Linked DNA regions of Stegostoma tigrinum. The protein of the gene in region 2 interacts with the protein of the main gene of each other region in a pairwise test. Links are inferred from orthologs where the notes say so. Each region holds a gene or a part of one and is shown on either strand. Other genes may lie near its edges.

The links.
Region 1: the proteins of rhobtb3 (region 2) and ubxn11 interact in binary tests that used the Homo sapiens proteins (3 or more experiments, as listed by UniProt). The two-hybrid records come from large-scale screens. The link is inferred for Stegostoma tigrinum from reciprocal best matches to the Homo sapiens genes RHOBTB3 and UBXN11.

Annotation. Positions count from the first base shown.
Region 1 is NC_081377.1:31,745,110-31,755,429, reverse strand, and holds the start of ubxn11 (UBX domain-containing protein 11), read right to left. Parts: upstream 5,129-10,320; 5' UTR 4,761-5,128; coding exon 4,687-4,760; intron 868-4,686; coding exon 830-867; intron 687-829; exon of another isoform or gene 608-686; intron 1-607. UniProt on the Homo sapiens protein: May be involved in the reorganization of actin cytoskeleton mediated by RND1, RND2 and RND3. Promotes RHOA activation mediated by GNA12 and GNA13.
Region 2 is NC_081356.1:88,473,314-88,483,418, forward strand, and holds the start of rhobtb3 (rho-related BTB domain-containing protein 3), read right to left. Parts: upstream 4,893-10,105; 5' UTR 4,628-4,892; coding exon 4,626-4,627; intron 4,445-4,625; coding exon 4,219-4,444; intron 1-4,218. UniProt on the Homo sapiens protein: Rab9-regulated ATPase required for endosome to Golgi transport. Involved in transport vesicle docking at the Golgi complex, possibly by participating in release M6PRBP1/TIP47 from vesicles to permit their efficient docking and fusion at the Golgi.

The DNA of each region.
Region 1 (10,320 bases), on a different chromosome or scaffold from region 2:
GCCTGTCTCCCAGCAGTGGGTAACGCTGACAGGCCCCAAACCTGAGGCAGCCAAAACAGCTATTGCCAGGAACTGAGTCAGGAAACATACAAGCTGGCCAATTATGGCATCTTTGGACTCTTGGCCTAACTGATCCTTCTGACATGAGAAACAGTTTCCCTTCATTTCCTCTTTCATGACACAGACATGGTTTGGAAGAGATCTAGAAAGTCTACTTTGAGCCTTTTTTTGTTACAAGGAGAACAATCCCAATTTCTCTTGTCCTCAAAACAAATTAACAAAAGACTGCACATCACTGGTGGGACCATGACCATGAGGAGTCAGAGCTGAAATCAGCCTAGTCTACATCAATATCTCTATGGGTATTTTTGAGTTGGGGTTACATAGTGATCAACAGCGTAAGCTCTTGAGAGAGAGAAACAATTTTTTTATTATTAAGCCAGAGACATTTAGAATCAGAACCACAGGAATAGCTTTTCATGGATTTTTTGTTATCTACTCCAAGCAGACTCACTCTGCGCTTGTACACACTGCGAGTACAAGCGTGTTTAGTAGCATCAAGTGGAAAAAATGCAGAATCCAATTCTCACAAAGAGCTCTCGCTTACCTGTCCAGTCCAGTGGTCAGTTCACTCTGCAGAGACTGATTCTACACTGGAAGGTATTGCCACTACTGGATCATCAGGCAGTGTGTGGTGAGAACCACTAAGGTTCCACAGCATGGCAGACCCTGGCATTCAGACAGCTCAGCAGCTCCTGTTAACTACTGTGGCTACAGGATACATCAGGATTAGATTTTGAATGTGTCTGTGAGAATTTGGCTGCCTTACCTGTGTGGCAGTCCTTTTCAAAACATACTGCTTGCTTGCTGTGAAAAATATACCAAAGGAAATTAAGACAGTGGCACTTATCAGTGATGTGAGTATACACAGACGAAATATTTCCAAAAGTACAAAATAAAAGATGTGTACATACAATTACAATAGGTTTAGAAGTATCAGCTATTGTTTAATGGTAGCATGCTTGACTCCAATTCAGGAGACTGAGGATTTAAAATCCTGTGCAACAATTCAGTTTAGCATAGTCAGTGCAGTCAGAAGGGAGTACTGCAAATCAAAAAATACCATTTTTCTATTGAGAGATCCTATCTGTCATCTCAGGTGACGAAGAAAATCTCAAACCTTTATTTTGTGTTAAGTGGGGGAGATTACCTACAGTGTCCTGGCTAATATCTATCCTTCACACACTATCAATATTAAAAATTTCTTGATTCTGACAGGAATTTACTACATACAAAATTGACTACGCTGGTTTCTACATTACAATGGTGACTGTGATTTCAAAAGTATTTAGCTGGTTTATCAGCACTTTCAAATGTATCAAGACTGTGTAAGGAGCAAAATAAATGCAGAGCATTCTTTATCAAACAGGATATCAGAAAGCAACACTTCTCACTGTGACCCACTATTTCTCTCTATTTCCCAGTGACCCCTATTTTGATGCTTGGATATTACTGTGGCTCTTAAACAAGAAATGTGAGGGGAGAGGGTATGAAAGGGAAGGAGACCTGTGATCTTGAGGGGTTCAGGGGAAGGCTCAGTCTGTTGGAGGCATAGCACAGCAGTCATGGCCCAAATCTTTTTGCCTGCAACGTCCATGGAGTCCCAACTCCCACTCTGGGTAGTCCTGGCATAAAGCATTAAACGTTATGACTCTGTGGTTTAAACTCCAGTCTATGACCGTAACAATCAGCTGGATAACCTTCCCTGACTGCTACTAATGAACAAATGTCATATGTGGGAGGTGAGGTCAGCTCAGCTCAGATGTGATGCAACCACACAACAATTGAACTTCATTGTCTAAACTGTGACTCAAAGGTGAAATGGCAGAGGGGAGTGGCGCAGAGGGGAAGAGTGAGAGAGGAGCCACTAATCTTATCACCACAACTCTTCACTGAGAGTGGAAAGGGACAACGTTTGGATTGGCGGTGGGCAGTTAACATACAATTAAGTCTCAAAAATGGAAATAATGGTGAAAACTGAAAATGCTGCTAATGGATTATAAAATACTACTCTGCTGTGCAGGCAGTTGTGAAAAATGTTGCAGTAAAGGAATTTGGATACTGGAATAGATAAATATTGTAGGACTGGAGAAAGAGAATTGAAAATTATCTTTGGCTATTGTGCAAGGATGCTCATTGTGAAAACACAGCCTGATGGTGAATCAGTCCCTGTTTTAGACTATCAGCCCTTCTTTGCTACAGGCAAGCAACTCCTGAGGCACAACATCATAGTATCATAGGCTTGATCCTGTAGAGCATCCTCATTTCTGATTCAGGAGCTCATGGGTTTAGGCAACCTCCAGAGAACTGAGCACATAATCTTGGCTGACAATCCATTGCAATGCTGACGACGTTCAGCACTGTCAGAGATGCCATTTTTCAGATGAAACATTAAAGAACCTGCCAAACAATTGGAAGAGCTGGGGAGTTCTCCCTGGGGTCATACCCAAAATTCATCCGTCAACCAATATCACTAAAACAGGTTACTCTATCAAATTACCAAGTCAATCTATGGGTTTTTTCTTTACACAAGTGTTCCATTTCAGAAGTATATCATTGACTATTAAGTGATTTATGATATTCAAAGATCATGGGCAATTTTATGGGATCTTGATTTAACATTTTGTCTGAAAGACAAGAACCTCCAAAAGCATCCACCCACATTTGTTTTATACATTATAACCAATTCAGAGATAGTAGGAACTGCTGATGCTCGAGTCTGAAATAACAAGTTGTAGAGCTGGATGAACACAGCAGGCCAGGCGGCATCAGAGGAGCAGGAAAGCTGACGTTTTGGGTCTGGATCCTTATTCAGAAATAGAGGAGGGGAAGGGGACTCTGAAATAAATAGAGAAGAGGAGGCGATGATGGAAGGTGGATAGAGGAGCAGATAGGTGGGGATAAAATGGACAGATTAAGGAGGTGGGGATGGAGCCAGTACAGGTGAGCATAGGTAGGGAGTTGGGAAGTGGGTTGGTCAGCTGGGAGGGACGGGTGGGTAGGTGGGAGGGAAGATGGACAGGTCAAAGAGGTCATCCTCCTTAACTTCAAACTAAAGTTCCTTTCCACTGAACTTCAGGATGCCATCATACTCAAAGCTCTATGGTTGCAGGTTAAAGAATATATTCTTAGGACACACGTTTATGCAGTTTTGCCCAAGGTGAAATGATAATATAGGCATTTTTTTCCAAATAGATGAGGGAGAAAGACAGGACCAATGTAGTGCACCTGGACTACATGTGGCGCAAACAAGTTCTGGATCTAGAGCATTTTAGTATGAACCTATGTGCTACCTATTCTTTATACACACGATGTAATGCCCATTGAGAAGATTGAGGCTATGGTTACATAAACTTCTTCAGAGCACAGAACATCCAGTAGAATCTTTCTTGATATTAATGCATAAGATCGTACAGGCAAACAGATAAATTGCATTTATATGGTCTTGTATAAAGTTCTTTAAAGCATTATAGAGTCATAGGGTCACACAACAATGAAACAGGCCCTTCAGCCCACTATGTCTATGCCAGTTAATGCTGAAGCTACATTGAGATCCACCCAATCTGATGATATTACACACACTTTGGTCTAGCATGAGGTCCTAGTTGAAACAGAGCATCATTTCTGGGTCCTGAAAGAGTTATGTCAAACTAGCCAAAAGTAACCTATACCTATTGCTATGATGTAGTAAGCTGCCTCTTGTTAACACGTCAAATGGATTCTTCTTAAGACCCATCAAAAGTCTTCCCTCTATCACAGATAATTATACACTCAGCATACAATGGATGATTGGTAGCAGCACCAAACCCCAACCATAAGTTATTTCCTCACCAATAGGATTGTACTCTAGTTGGAGATTGGCTATATGTCAGAAAGCGCAAAATAATTGGAATATCAGAATTTTTCTTTTCCTTTTTGGGACAACAGAAGTTCAGAAGTTTTGTGCAGGAACTGTGGAGACTAGCAGACCTACTGGTAATTTGTGACAAAATCTTGCTTTAAATTTTAAACAATGTGCAGCAAGCTAAACAGTGTCATGTCAACTGTTTGGGCATTGCAACTACAGTACTAAGTAGCATTACTGAATTTTTCTTTTGTGGAATATTGACCTGGTCAGCAATTATTGCCTATTTCCTTGAACTATGTACCTTGCTTTGCTACTTCAAAGGGAAATTAATATAGGATAAACCACATTTCTGTTGGAGTCGCACGTAGTCCAGACTGGGTAAAGTCAACAGATTTGTTTCCCTCAAGGGCATGAGGAAACAAAATGGCTGTTTGATCACTGTCATGGTTATCATCACTAAAACTAGCTTTTACATTACAGATTTATTAATAGAAACGAAATTTCACCAACCACCATAATGCGATATTAATCCATATCCTAAACCATTAGCCTTAGTCTAACAATTAGTGGTACTACACAACATCACAATCTCCATCCATTCCAATGCCCAAACTACCCCAAGTCAGGATGGTGTGTGGCTTAGGTGGGGGGTGGGGGAGGTTGGAGTTTGAGGCAGGTTGTGTTCACATCTGCCCTCTCACCTTGCTACAGAAATGTCACTTTTATTTGTTTATTTACAGCATAGAACAGAATAGAGCAAGGAGCAAGGTCTCACTTACCGACGATCCTGCAGCTCTGGCAGGAGTACTGATACTTTCTGTAATTTTCCTAGAGATGAGAGTGGGGAGCTCATTGTGATTACAAACACCTTGCTCAGACCCCTTAATAACTCTGCCACAGGGTCTAGGATCCTGTCTCACACTGGCCACTGGCTGGGATCTTCTTCCACACGGACCACTGCCCTGGATCCTGTCCCTCACTAGCTACTGCCCTGGATCTTGTCACAAACTGGTCACTGCCCGGGTAACTGTCCCACACTGACCACTGCCTGGGATTCTGCCCCAAACTGACCGCTGCCCTGGATCCTATCCCTCACTGATCAGTGACCAGGCTCCACTATCCTCTCCCACGCTGACCGATGCCTCTAGCTTTGCTTCTCAGCTCCCCTCTAGCGCTAAGCGGGTTAGAGGGCTGTCGGGGCTGGGCAGTATCCTGAGCTTCTCCCCGGGCAGACTTATTGTTTAATACGTTGCTAAGAAATGCAGTAAGCAAATAGCTGATTAGCAGCGATGAGAGCGGACCACAAATAAAGGTGAAAACTGATTGGACACTACCGAATATTTATTCTGCCAATCAGAGGCCAAACATCTTCAACAAGTGGTCGCCCCATAATCAAAGGTCAAAACTTTCATCCAATTCCGGAACATAGATCTTAAACCAACCATGTCCAATGACTGATCATCACCTCCATTCATTCCCTGACCAGTCACCTCCATCCAATCACTAACTAGATCCTTCCGTCCAATTACTGACAAGTAACTGTGAGCCAATCACTGACCAGTCGCCCCCATCCAATCACAGATTGGCCACTTCCATCCATTCTGACCAGTCTCGCTTATCCAATCGCAAACCAGATCCCTCTGCTCAGGTGGAGTAATACTGGAGTTAAAGGAAAATGGTTAAGGCATTGGAGGTAGTTACTTAATTTCTACATATAGTAAAAACTGCCAATGCTAGATAACACAGCGTGGAGCTGGAGGAACACAGCAGGCCAGGCACATCAGAGGAACAGGAAAGCTGATGTTTCGGATCAGGCCCCTTCTTTGGTCCCAACCCAAAATATCAGCATTCCGCCTCCTCTGATGCTGCCTGGCCTTCTATGTTCCATCAGCTCCATGCTGTGTCACCTTATCTCCAGGACGTCTTTACAGGATGTCCTGAGAATAGTGTCCTATGACCATAAAATATAGGAGCAGAATCTGCTTCTTCCAACTCAAAAGCTTGAGAAAAAATTCTCAATTTGGAAATTGCACACTAAGAATTGTAGTGAAGGTATAGAGATTGCTGAAAACATGAGTATACAGTACAAAAATTCCTTAAAAGGCAATTGGGCTGCAATTGAAAAACAAAAAGGATCAAAAGACATTATTTAAAAAAACTCAAACCAAGCATCATTCTATTTTTCTTTTGAAATGTTATGCCTGTCAAGTCTTTCGACTCTATTCTCCTGCCTTCCTCCCGTAACTTTTGATCCTCTTACTGATCAAGAACCTATCGCTGTCTTAAGTGACGTCTTAAGTCTCAATGACTTGGCCTCCACAGCACTCTGTGACAATGTGTCACTATCTTAGACCCAACTATCTTCGCCTCCTTCATTGTTCGCCATTAAAGGAACAGAAGTGCTGATGATTATACAATGTTCAGTACCGTGCTCATTGCCTTTGATACTGAAGCAGACCATATCGAGGCTTGGGCTGAAAAGTGGCAAGTTACATTCATGCCTCTCAAATGTCAGGCAATGACCATCTGCAATAAGAGATTAACTAAAACAATTTCCCTTAACATTCAGTGACATCACTATCACTGAATCCCTCACTATCAACATCCTGGGGTTTTCCACTGATGAGACATTTAAATGGACTTGCCATAAAAACACAGTTGCCACAAGACCAGGTAACAGGCTTGGCATCCTGCAGCAAGTAACTCACTTCCTGATTCCACAAAGCCTGCTCACCATCTACAAGGCACAAGGCAGGAGTGTGATGGAATACTCCCGACTTGCCTGGATGAGTGCAGCTCCAACATCACTCAAGAAGCTTGGCTCCATCTAGGACAAAGCAGCCTGCATACTTGGCATCTACATATGTCCACTCCCCACAACCCTGATGCTTGATAGAAGCAGCGAGTACCATCTACAAGATGCACTGCAAAAATTCACCAAAGCTTGTTAGCACCTTCCAAACCCACGACCATTTCCACCTATAAGGACCAAGGGCAGCAGGTACATAGGAGCACCACCATGTGCAAGTTTCTCTCCAAGTAACTCACCATCCTGGCTTGGAAATATTTTGCCATTCCAACACTGTTACTGGGTCAAAATCCTGAAGTTCCCTCATGAAAAGCATTGTGGGATTACCCACAGCACATGGACTGAAGTGTTTCAAGAAGGCAACTCACAGCCACCATATCAAGGGGTACTCATGACCAGCAATAAATGCTGGCCCATGATGAGTGTCTTGTCTGAATGCCCGACAAGACTCCATAAACAAGTCCTCTACTCTGAGCTCCACAATGGTAAGCAATCATTAAGAGGGCAGAGCAAATGCTATAAGGGCACCCTGAAAGCAAAACAACATCCTCACTGACACATGGGAATCACTTCCCTTAGAACACTCAATCTGGAGAAGAATCCGTGAAGACCCAAAGACTTGTCACTGAATGGAGCACATGGACGTTTAGCAGCAGAAAGAGCGCAAACAGTCCAGGGCATCCCACTCACCCACCCACCTCATCAAACAGTTCCCATCACTTTACTGATAATCAAGAAGCGACAGAAGAGGCAGTAATTAGTTGGATTTCTCCTAGTTCTATTTACAGACCAAACCTGGACATTTTCCACATTGTCTATATGTTTGTTGATTGAAGTGTAGGTGGAGAACAATGCCTCTAGGAAATCTCATGCATGTCTATGTTTGGCTTGGGCTACTATGGTTACTTTGTCCCAGTGGACATGCACAGGAATTCCGAGAGGCATGGTTCTCCACCCATAATTCATCAACAGACATATAGAATTGGACCCCACATACAAAGCCATACAGATCAAAACTGGAAATGACAGTACTTGCCATAATGGGCTGGGCAGTATCAATTCCAAGTGGAGTAAAATAACATTGTTTCATCGGAGGCTGCACTGATGATGTCACCCAGCATGGTGACGAGACGTCTGAATAGAAACAGGCCTGCTCAGCAAACAAGTCAACAACCTCATTCATAAACCGAGATACAGATCTTTGCCAAAAGTTTACACGAGAGTTGAATGCAGTATCCTATAAGTATTGCAGGATTGCTATTGGGCCCCATAGCCTTTGTAGTTTCTGGTGCCTCCAGCTGTTTCTTGATTCACCCAAGATCCTTAGACAGCACCTTCCAAAGCCATAACCGCTTCTATCTAGAAGGACAAGGGCAGCAGATTCAAGGGAGCACCATCACTTGCAAATTCTTCTCCAAGTCACTGACCATCCTGACTTTGGAAATGTATTGTCATTCCTTCACTGATGCTAGGTCAAAATCCTGGAAATTCCTCTCAAAGGGCTTTGTGGTTCAACCTACAGAACGTTGACTGCAGTGGTTCAAGAAGGCAACTCCATACCATCTTTTCAAGAGCAACTAGGGGCATTTCCCATGTCCCACAAACAAATAAATAAATCACATGGAGTGAATCGAATTGGCATCAGTGATGCTGATAAATTCTGAAGGAGGTTATAATGGATCATGCACTCAGCATTTTTGGCTGAAGATTGTTGCAAATGGTTCAGCATTGTATTTTGCACTAATGTCCTGATCTACCCTATTTTTGTGAATGGAGATATTTGTGGAACCTCCCTCTCCAGTGAGTTGCTTGTCCAACACTGTTCATAACTGAATGTGACAGGACTGCAAAGCTTAGATCTAATCTACTGGTTGTGGAATCACTTAGCCATGTCCATCACTTGTTGTTAATGCTGGTTGGTCTACAAATTGTCTTAATTTATATATTTATCAGATTAACACCTCAATTTTTAGGTATAGATGGTGCTGCCCCTGGCATGCCCTCCTGCACCCTTCATTCAACCAAGGTTAATCCCCTGGCTTGATTGAAATGGTAGAGTGGACAATATGTCAGGTTCTATAGTTGTAGATTGTGTTGGAATGCAATTCTGCTGCTGCTGATGAGTCAGTGTTTCATTGATGCCCAGTTTTGATTTGCTATATCTGTTTGAAATCTTTTCCATTTAGCCTGTTGATAGCGCTATTTAGCTCATTTGGCTGGGTTGTTGGCTTGTGACCAGAGGTGATGCTAAGTAGTCTGGGTGCAATTCCTGTGCTGCTCAAATTAACATGAAGGATTCTCCTCTGCTTGCCTGAAGTGCAGTGACCCTCAAGTTAAGCTCCCACCAAGTGTCTCTTTCTGATAAGAGCGCAGCCAGGTGGTCTGGTTAGAAGCATCGTGACTTCACCTTTTAGTTCCACATAACACAATGGAGGGTAGTCTCATTGTGAAGGCAGTGTTTTGTCTCCACAAGAACTGTGTTGTGGTCACTGTTACCAATAGTCTCATGAACAGATGCAGCTGCAGCAAAAAAAAATTGGTGAGAATGAAGTAAGGCATGTTTTTCCACTGTTAATCCAGAGACCCAGATAATGTTCTGGGGACCCGGGTTTGGCTCCTTCACCACCTACTGCACACCCAGTCTAGCAGCTATATGCTTTAGGATTCAGCCAGATTGGCCAGTGGTGGTGCTGCTGAGCTACTGTGGTTGTGAACATTGAAGACACCTCCCCAGAATATATTCTGCACCCTTTGCATCTTTAGTGCTTCTCCACCTGATGTTCAACACGGAGGAGTATTGATTCAGCAACAGGGAATGGGGGTGAGCAGTATATGTTAATCAGCAGGAGGTTTCCTTATCCATGTTTGACCTCATGGCATGAGACCTAATGGGGTCCAGAGTCAGGTTTGAGGATTCCCAAGACAACCCCTTTCCAATTGTGTATCACAGTGTCGCCACCTCTGCTGGGTCAATGTTGCTGGTGGCATAGGACATAGCCAGGGATGGCCTCTAGGACATTGTTTGCAAGGCATAATTCCATGATTATTACTGTGACTTGCTGTTTCTCAACTAATCTGTATGACATCACACCCAATTTTGGCACAAGATGCTAGGTGTTAGTAAGGAGGGTGTTGGCAGGGTTCACAGGGTTGTGTTTGCCATAATTCTTTCCGGTACCTCAGTTGATGCTGGGTGGTGCATCTCGTTTCGTGCCTTTTTTGAGACTTTCTAGTGATTGATAAAATGGAATGGCTTGCTAGGCTATTTCAGCGGGCAGTTGGAACTATATCACCAAGGCTTCATTCTTTCTGATTCAGAAGTCTGGAAATCCCTTATTAGCAGCACCATGGTGTACCTACACCCCAAGGCTGCACAGATTCAAGAAGGCAGCTCATCACCAATTTCTGTAAGGCAATTAAGGATGGATTATAAATGTTGGTCCAGCCAATGATCTCCGCATCCCATGTACACATTTAGAAAAAAGATCAACTACATATAAGAATCAACTTTAGAATACATCACTCTGAATTGATGTCATACCCACAATGGCTACAAAAATCAAAAGATTGCTTTGTAAGTTGATATCATGAGAAGGACAACGAA
Region 2 (10,105 bases):
AATTATTAACTGAGGGAGAGCCAAATAAATCTGAGCTGGATAGACTGGAACAAAGGGAAAAACCTCCAAAACAATGGCCTACTTTCAAAAAATAAATACTTTGGGTACAGTCAAGGTATATTCACTCAAAATGGAAAGATACACCAAACAAATTCAAAACTCCCTGGTTAAAAATTCAAATAGAAAATAAGATAAAGAAGAAGCAGTGTGCTTATGACAAGTGTCAAGCAGAAAATACAATGGAGAAACAAGAGGAACACAGAAAACGTCCAGCGGGAATATAAAACAAAGCATGTTAAAGAAGCAAAGAGGGACCATTAGAAATGACAGCGAGCCAGCATAAAGGAGAATTCCTAAGACTTCTATAGGTATTTAAATATTGAAGGGGTTGCAACAGGAGGAGTAAGGCCGATTAGGGACCAAAACGGGAATTTACATATGGAGGCACGTTGCATGGCTAAGGTATCAGATACTTTGCATGTGTGTTCACCAAGGATGTGGTCGCTACACAAGCCATAGTGACAGAGGAAAGTCAGTCACTAAAAGGATTCAAAATTGAGTAGAGGAAGTGTTGGATAAAATGGCAGTACTGAAAAGTTGACAAGGCATTCAAGTACAATGTTCTAAAGGAGGGTCCCTAGACCTGAAATGTTAACTTTGCTTTCTCTCTCCACAGATGTTGCTAAACCTACTGAGTATTCCCATCAATTTCTGTTTTTATTACTGAAGCCAATGTAATGCATCTAAAGATACTGAAGGAAGAAAGAGTGGAAATTTAGGGGCTTCTGGCCACAATCTTCCCTGGACTTGGGGCGTGCCAGTGCAGAATTGTGAATATTACATTCTGGTTCAAAAAAAGATTTTCAAAATAATCCAGCAATCAGTGACCAGTTAGTTTAACTTCTGTAGGGGAAATCTTCTGGAAATAATTATTTGGCATATAGTTAGTAGTCACATGGCAAGTGCTAGGTTAGTTAGGAAGAGTCAGCATAGATTGCTACTAACTTGCTGGATTTTTTTTGAAGAAGCAACAGAAAGGGTCAATGAGGATAATATTGTTGATGTCCTGTACAGGTATCCAATACAGTGTCACACATCAGACTGGTGAAACATGTCAGAACAATTTAGAACAGTTATAACTCATGGAACAACAGAGACCATAGCAAAGTGGGTGCAAAATTAGTGGAACAATAGGAAACAAAGAGTAATAATGAATGGATATTTTGGGCTGGAGGAAGATTTGTGAAGTTCCTTAGAGGTTGGAATTGGCTGCCTTGCTTTTCCTGGTACATATTAATGATTTAGATCTAGCTAAACAGGAGGCAAGTTTGTAAATGATACAAAGTCACATGGCATTGTATACAATGAGGAGGAAAGTGTGGAATGCCACAATGGAAAAAGGACCAGTATTCGGAATGGGTAAGTAAGCGGCAGATGCAGTTCAAATGTCAAAGACTGAGGTAATATATTTTGCATTACATGGACAGACAACATAAAATGGAGGTTACAATTTTTCAGGGTTGCAGAAGCAAAGACTTTTAGAGGTGTATATGTGCACAGACCATTGGTGCCAGCTGGACAGATGGAAGAGCAGTTAGTAAAGTAACGGTATCCTGGGCTTTACCAATATGGGCACAGAGCACAACAGCAAGGAGGTGATACTGAATGAATTCAAGGCGCTTACTAGACCTCAGTATTTTGTACAGTCTGGGTGTTGCGCTGTGGGAAGGATGTGAATGTTTTGGAGAGCATGCAAAGAGGTTTACAAGAATGGTAATGTGGTCTACTCCATCCGCTGCTCCCGACGTGGCCTCCTCTATGTTGGTGAGACCAAGTGGAGGCTTGGAGACCGCTTTGTGAAGCAGCTGCACTCTGTTTGTGACAAATGACACCTTCCAGTTGCCAACCACTTCAACTCCCCCTCCCACTCCCTGGACAACGTGTCCATCCTGGGCCTCCTCCAGTGTCACAATGACACCATCCAGAAACTAGAGGAGCAGCATCTCATATTCCACCTTGGAACTCTACAACATAATGGTCTCAATGTGGACTTTACTAGTTTCAAAATCTCCCCACCCCTGACCTCATCCCATGACCAACCACCCATTCTCCCCACCCCGGCCTACCTGGCTTCTCTCCCAACTATCCACTCCTCCCGCCTCACTGACCAATCCCCACCGCTGCCTACCTGCACTCACCTATCACCATACCACCTACCTTCCCCAGCCCCAGCCCCTGTCTCTATTTATTTCAGAGTTCCATGCCCCCTCTCCCATTTCTGAAGAAGGGTCCTGACCCAAAACATCAGCTTTCCTGTTTCTTTGATGCTGCCTGGCCTGCTGTGTTCCTCCAGCTCCATACTGTGTTATCTCTGTCTCCAGCTCTCAGTTCCTACTATCTCCTTTTATTCATGTTAATTTTTGTGTCCTGTATAGGACACCATATAACAATGCTCACATAACATCGCATGCTCAGTTCTTGACAATATGTCATATACAACTATCAGCCACCTCAAATTTCATTTATATTCTTTTAAATATTAATCAGTTATTTGTGTTGCTTCCAGTGAGGTAGAGTTTATCCCATTTTGCTTGTGTCATACTCCAGCTGTTGCCAGCGAAGGTCTTGTCATCTGAATTCTGCGCTGTTCGTCTCCCTGAGTGCGCACTTACTGGAGCTTATGTCTACCTGCATGACATGCTGCCGAGTCTTAATCGTACATTACAAAAGTAGCATTCTATTCATGTACGGCTCTTGACACCTATATTCATCCTTTTAGGGGTAGGGGTGAGATGGGAGGGTAGGCTTGAATATTGCTAGTCCCAGCTACGCTGTTGCTAACAAAATAACATACTCACACAATGACTGTCATTGAAATGGTCCTGCAGTTTGTTACATGAAACTCACACTTCATTAAAACAAACTGTTAATAGGTGCCTGTAGCAATTCCCAAAACAGTACTGAACATTCTGATTGACTTACTTCTCGTCACTCCCAAGACAAGTGATCTGGATATTTAGTAGCAATGTCTGCATTGAAACAGGGAAAGCACTATTCCCCCATTTCAATATACGGGCAGTTATGTGCTTGGAAGGGCTATATTATTTCATTGGCCTTTTATAACTGCATAATTCAGGCCATTTTTTGTTAATTTTAAAATTATTCTAGTTAACTTGAAAATACCTTAGCAGCATTTTTAGTCTCTCAGAGCTAATTTCTGAAAGATTTTTCTTTAAAATAAGTGTCAGGAATTGAAATCCAATTAAACTGCAGGTGTATATTCTGACAAAGTATTATTATATTGGTAACTGATCTCTACCGCTATTATTCAGGTAATTTGGAGCCTTAAGCCCGGTTATGAAACCTATCCTCACATTTATGACGGATTTCATTTCCCAATGGTATACCCCTTCACTGTTGGTTGGCTCAATTAGCTGGTGAGTAATACCAACAGCAGGGTTCAGTTCCCACACTGGCTTTTACAACCTTAAGCCCAGTTCCAAAAGTAGCATTCCATTCATGTACTGCCTTTAACACCTATTCTGGTCGTTATAGGGGTGGGGCAAAAGTTCCAAAGTGCGACACCTCACACTTATCTGTATTGAATTACAGTTGCCAATCCTCAACCCACTTCCACTTTTGACAAAAATCCCTCTGTAATTTTTGATAACCTTGCTTACTATCACAAGGATTGCAGTCTAAATTGGCACTTCCTGAGGTCAATTAAAGAATAACTACTGTGGAAATATTCTGTAGACTTTCATAAGTTGTGGTAAGACCCTCAGGAGTCAGCAGAACAATAAGCAATTATTTCCCTTTTTCCTGAAAGCTCAAAATTGGTCATTATTATTTGTCTCAGGGTTAAAGTATGACTCGAGATGTTTTGGTCGTGTGTTGAACATTAGACCTATGTGCAAATAGACAATATGTAACACGGACAAATGAAGCGAATAAATGTCTCAATTTTAAGACAAATGGGGGAAATCACTGTTCCACATAACATGCTTCTGATAAAATCGCACGGTTTGAAATTGCAAACTTCACGCTAGCACATCAGAGGGTCTACCGGATTACCCGAAGCAAAAACGGCGCACCACTGACATGAGGGACAAGTACGGGGTGGGCTGCACCAACATTACAAAGCGCTCGTACATCTCCGGTGCCCTTAAGCGGCGAACCTCATCTTGTAAGTCCCATTGTGACTTTTTATCTCCTTACCCAACTGGGACAGTCGTGAATCAGCACTCGGACTCTGCCGAAGACATAAGCTTGGTACTCGACAAAGGCAGGAAATGTGATGTGGGTGGCAAAGCTGAGCAAGCGTCTCTCTTCAACGTGCCGGATAATGGCATGTCTGCCGAAATAGGTGGTGATCAGATCCGGCTGCTGCAGGCTGTCCTCAAATCCTGCTCTCTCATTGCCCAGAGCCACAATGCGAACCGACCTAAACAACAAGTTACACACAGGGGCACTCAGTTAAAGGAGACTAGCATCAGCCGTGCAAGTAGAGGCGTGCGGCTTTGTGAGAACAAGCTATCCAGCTGACTTTAACACAGAATACAGTAGTGAACTCATTTTAAAAAAAACTGCAAACGACTTTAATCGAACCGGTATGTGCAACTTACATGATCAATGCTGGCTCGACAGCTTAACACAAACGCCGAGCCAACGTTGCGGTCTATTCATAGTTATATCGGTGCGAGTAACAAAGAAACTCGAAGTGAGCTGAAGCTCTTTGGCCTGAGTTGACCGCACAGAATGCAACAATATCCAGCGAGACGGGGCGGTGAACTTTACTCTCGCCGCCCCTTTCCCCGCGGGCTCGTCCTTAGCCCACAGCAGATCAGCGGAGACTGCAAAACGCGGCTCTGGCACAATCAGCAGCACTGTGGACGACAGGACAGATTCCTCCCCCCCCCCCCGCCAAAACACCCGCAAAACCCGGTCCAGTCACAGGCTCCTGACGTCAGTGAAGCAAAGGAATTAGATTTAAATCCGTTCACAAATCACTGAAGCCGCCACACGCGGGATTCATCCCCGACTTCATTTCGAAAGAGGAAAATCACAGTGATGTTAAGGATAAGGAGAGACAGAGGGAGCCGTTTCTCAGGCAGCGAAACATTGGGAACGGGAAATCAAGTAACACCGTGCGTGGATCAATAGCCCGTGTGTGTCCTCTAACGTGTGAGAAGGACAGCTTGCGGCTCGCAGTTGATACCATAGTTAGCACTGGTGGCCTAAATGTCTAACAGCAGCAGCAATCGGCATAAACACAGGTTGTTTCAGATAGTTTTTTTTCCCCCCTCAACTTTAATTTTCTCGAAGTAGTCATTTAATCCCAGGTACAGGCCCTGATGCTGTCCACCAACATAATGAGGATAGATTACCAGCGAGCCAGCCAAACAGTGTAATACATCAACCGTGGGATAGCTGTCATTCTATAAATAGTCTGGGAAAGTGGGGGCTCAGCAGTTTAATAACTGCAAGCATCACATATATCCACGTCCTCTGACACTGTATAAATTTCAATTATTTCTGCTTCAGAAGTAACAATACCCCTAGCCAAGCAATGCTCAGCACAGCTACATCACTGGCATCTACCCAGCAATGTGGAAAATAACCCAGGTATGCTCTACCCACACAATTCAGGACAAATCAACACAGCCAATCATTGCCCCATCAGTCCACTCTGAATCATCAGCCAAGTGCTGAAAGGGATCATTAACTGTGCTGTGAAATGGCACTGACACAGCATGACCTACTCACTGACACTCAACTCAGGTTCTGCCAGGCCCACTCAACTCGTGACCTCATAGCATCCTCAGTCTGAACATGGACAAAAGGGCTGAAATTCTGAGAGGAGGTGAGGCTGCCTACTTTTTATATGAAAACTGCTTTTGACTGGGTATGACATCAAGGAGCACTCACAAAACTGCAAACAGTGGGATTTGGGGGCAGTACGGTGGCTCAGTGGTTAACACTGCAGCCTCACAGCACCAGGGACCCAGGTTCATTTCCAGCCTTGGGCAACCGTCTGTGTGGAGTTTGCACATTCTCCCCGTGTCTGCGCGGGTTTCCTCTGGGTGCTTCAGTTTCCTCCCACAGTCCAAAGATGTGCAGGCTAGAGTGGATTGGCCATGCTAAATTGCATGTAGTGTTCAGGGGTGTGTGGGTTATGGGGGATGGGTCTGGGTGGGATGCTTCAAGGGGCAGTGTGACTTGTTGGGCCGAAGGGCCTGTTTCCACACTGTAGGGATTCTAATCATACTTAGTACAAAGGAAAGGGACTGTGGATGTTGGACAGCAATCAGCTCAGTCCTCAAATATCAATGCATGAGTTCCCCAGGGTCATCTCCTATACCCAACCATGTTTACATCATATGTAAATGACATTCCTTCAATCTTAAGGTCAGAAGTGTTGACATTCACAGATGATTGCACATGTTCAGCAACATTTCTAGCTCATCAAATATTGAAGATATCTGTGACTTTATTAAGCCAGACCCAGACAACATTAAGTTTTAGGCTGACGAGTGGCATGCAAAAGCCATGTCATACAATTGTGAAGGTGGCTTACAGTATAGTAATATTGTTTGATTTAGATTTTATTGATGTGTAATCAAGTGCAGTGAAAAGTGTACAAAGTCATCATTCTCCAGCTCCACCTAAACATACAAAAGACAGGATTAAAAACTGACGCAGAAAAACAAGAAAGTGCCCAGAAGAATAACAGATAGCTTTGAGATTGATTTGTATTTCTGTATTGTATGTGTTTAGATGAGTGAAAACATGGTTTTAGTTTCACTTTGAGAGTTTTAGTGCCAGGAAATTTTGTCTTTGTTTATATTTTTGTTTTAAGTGATGGTTACAGCCTTGGACAGCTGGAGGTGATCAGTTCAGAGCACTCACATAAAAAGATAGAAGAGACAAAAGAAAAACCATTGTTGCCTGTGACGGGAGCTCAGTAAAACAGAAAGTTACAACAATCTAGAAGAAGTCAGGCAGTGTTCATGCAAAGGTAAACGGTCTGCAACAGCAGGGTTAACAAAATATTCAGAGCAAGAATGGGCAGAAGTCCCAGTTGTTAAGGAGAAAGGCTCAAGCTGTTAAAGACATGAGTTTATGGAACAAATTTTAAGCAATAAGAGTTGAGGTAACAATTTAAGGGCCTCAAGATTACATTAACTGAAAAAAAAACATAATTGAGTGAATGCAGAAATTTACTGAAAAGAAACAGACTATTCAGCAAATACGACTGTAAAGTGGAGTGGGGAGATCCTTCACTGAGGTCTGGGTGTCTGTAAGGTTGTTGATGAAAAGGGTTGAATCTTTCTTTTTGATATTTGTAATGAGACCATTTCAAATAGTTCTTATACAGCATAACATGGTTCATCTTTTTCTTTTGTATAATAAAACATCAAGTTGTTCAAAAGATACTTAAGAAAATATGTTCAATTACTGATTTCCATAGTAAAGAAAAAGAAGGACAAAATTTGGCTGATTAAGCCAGATCTCACTCGGTAATTTCACTTGTCCGGTATTCCAATCAGCTGGGATCTTACGGTGGGGGCCTTTGCAGGATCCAAATTCATGGAATTTAAGAGCGATCTGTGTATCTTAAACATACGAGTTTGTGAAGATACCAAGCACAAAATAAAAGAACATGAAATCTTTGGATATAGGTAGGACATTCAAAATAGCTTGACTGTTGCAAGTGCTATTATCTGGAAGTACAAACTGTAACAATGGAATACTCAAAATCTTTGACTAAGGCTAAATTGAGAAAGTTATCGAAGAAATTGAAGATAGAAATAAAAGCAGAATACCGTAAGAATAAGCAATCGACACACTGACCCATGTCGATGTGAAGAATGCCCTTGACATAATTTACACTGCCACAAAAGATACTAGGGACAAAAGTCCCCAAGGCCTTATTCAGTGCGGCCAGTGACTTCAACCAAGTCAACCTCAAGAGGGTGCTGCCAAAGTACCTCCAGCACATCTCTTGCTGCACCAGGGGACCAAACATCCTGGATCACTGCTTACACAACCTTCAAAATGCCTACTGCTCCAAACCCCCTGCCCACACTTCAGAAAATCAGATTACAGCATTGCGTTCCTCCCAGCTTATAATCAGAAGCTGAAACGGGAAGGAGCTTCATGAAAGGAAGTACAATGATGGTCTGAAGCTGTGGAAGACTGTCTCCGGGACTGCTTGGAATCAGTGGACTGGATTGTGTTCAAGTTCTCAGTAGAAAACTGAGGTGAGTTTGCCACCACCATCACTGACTTCATCAGCAAATACCTGGAGGACTGTGGACTAAAGAAGTCAATCCGAGTGTTCCCAACCATAAATCTTGGATGAACCGGAGAATCAACTCCTTGCTGAAGACTAAATGTGCAGCATTCAAGTTGGGTGACCCAGACCAACAACACAGGAAATCCAGATACGACTTCCGCAAAGCCATCAGGGACGCCAAGAGGCAATGCCAGACCAAGGTAGAGGCCCAGACTTTCCAAACAGTCCTGCACTGTCTATGGCATGCTCTAACCAACATTACACAATTAAAAATGAAGCTGAGCACACCCGACCTCATCCCAAAACCAGCCCATCTCCTCCCGCCTCCCTGACCTGTCCATCTTTTCTCTTGCCTATCTGCTTCTTCCACCTCAACCCCCACCCACACCTCCTACCTATCAGCCTCATCCCTGCCTCTTTGACCTGTTGTCTCAGTTTCTCCAGCATCAGCAGTTCCTACTATCTCTATAACCCTCCCTGATGTTCTCAATGCTTTCTATGCTTAGTTTGAATGAAATATCGGTGGCACAGTGACACCTGCCCCAACAGTTCCAGATAAATCATCTTTCCCTTGGTCACTGTTGCACGCATCATATCAGTCTTCCTGGGAGGCAACCCAAAGAAAGCGATGGGCCCGGATAATGTCCCCAGCAGAGCACTCGAATCCTACGCAGACCAGCTGGTGGAGGTATTCACTGACGTCTTCAAATGTCTCCCTCCTACAAAGTCCCCACCTGCTTCAAGAAGATCGCCATCATCTCCGTGCCCACGAAAACACATGCAGCATGCCTTAAGGACTACTGCCCAGTGGCTCGGACCAATGAATTGCTTCGAGAAGCTGGCCATGGCCCATATCAACTCCAGTCTCCCACCTGACTCGATCCCCTACAATTTTCCTACTGACATAACAGATTCACAGAAGATGCCATACCCTTAGCCCTGTACTCATTCCTGGAACATCAGGACAAAGACACCTACATCAGACTCCTGCTCACCGATGACTGCTCTACCTTCAACGTCATTATCCCCTCCGGACTGATCACAAAACTGTGTGACCTTAATCACGGCTCCGCCCTCTGCAACTGGATCCTCAGCTTCCTGACCCGTAGGCCACAATCAGTGAGGATAGGTAACTGCACCTCCTCCACAATAACACTCAACACTGGATCCCCCGCATACCTCCCCCCACCAAGGGATGTATGCTCAGTCCCGTTCCATACTCCTTGTACACCTACGACTGTGTTGCCAAATTCTAAACGAATGCCCCTACAAGTTTGCTGATGTCACCACTGTAGAAATACAGATATCTAACAACAATGAGTCAAAATACAGAAAGAGGGGGCTTGGTGACATGGCACAATGAAAACAACCTCTTTCTCAAGGTCAACAAAACTAAAGAATCGATCATGGAGTTCAGAAAGAGAAAGCAGGAGAACATGCCCCCATCTACATCAATGGAACGGAGGTTGAAAAGGTGGAGAGCATCAAGTTCCTCGAAGTCACAAGATGGACAATCTGTTCTGGTCTTGCCACATAGATGCAATGGTTAAGAAGGCACAACAACACCTCTCTTTCTCAGGCTGCTAAGGAAATTTGGCATATCTATAAAAAGGTCCCTCACCAACGTCTACAGACGCACAACTGAAAGCATACTGTCCGGGTGTGTAACGCCCTGGTATAGCAACTGCGCTTCTCAGGATGTGTAAGAAACTACAGAGGGTGGTGTGCACAGCCCAGACCATCGTGGAAACCAACTTTCTATCCATGCATTGTATTTATATGGCCTGCTGTTGCAGAAAGGTGGCC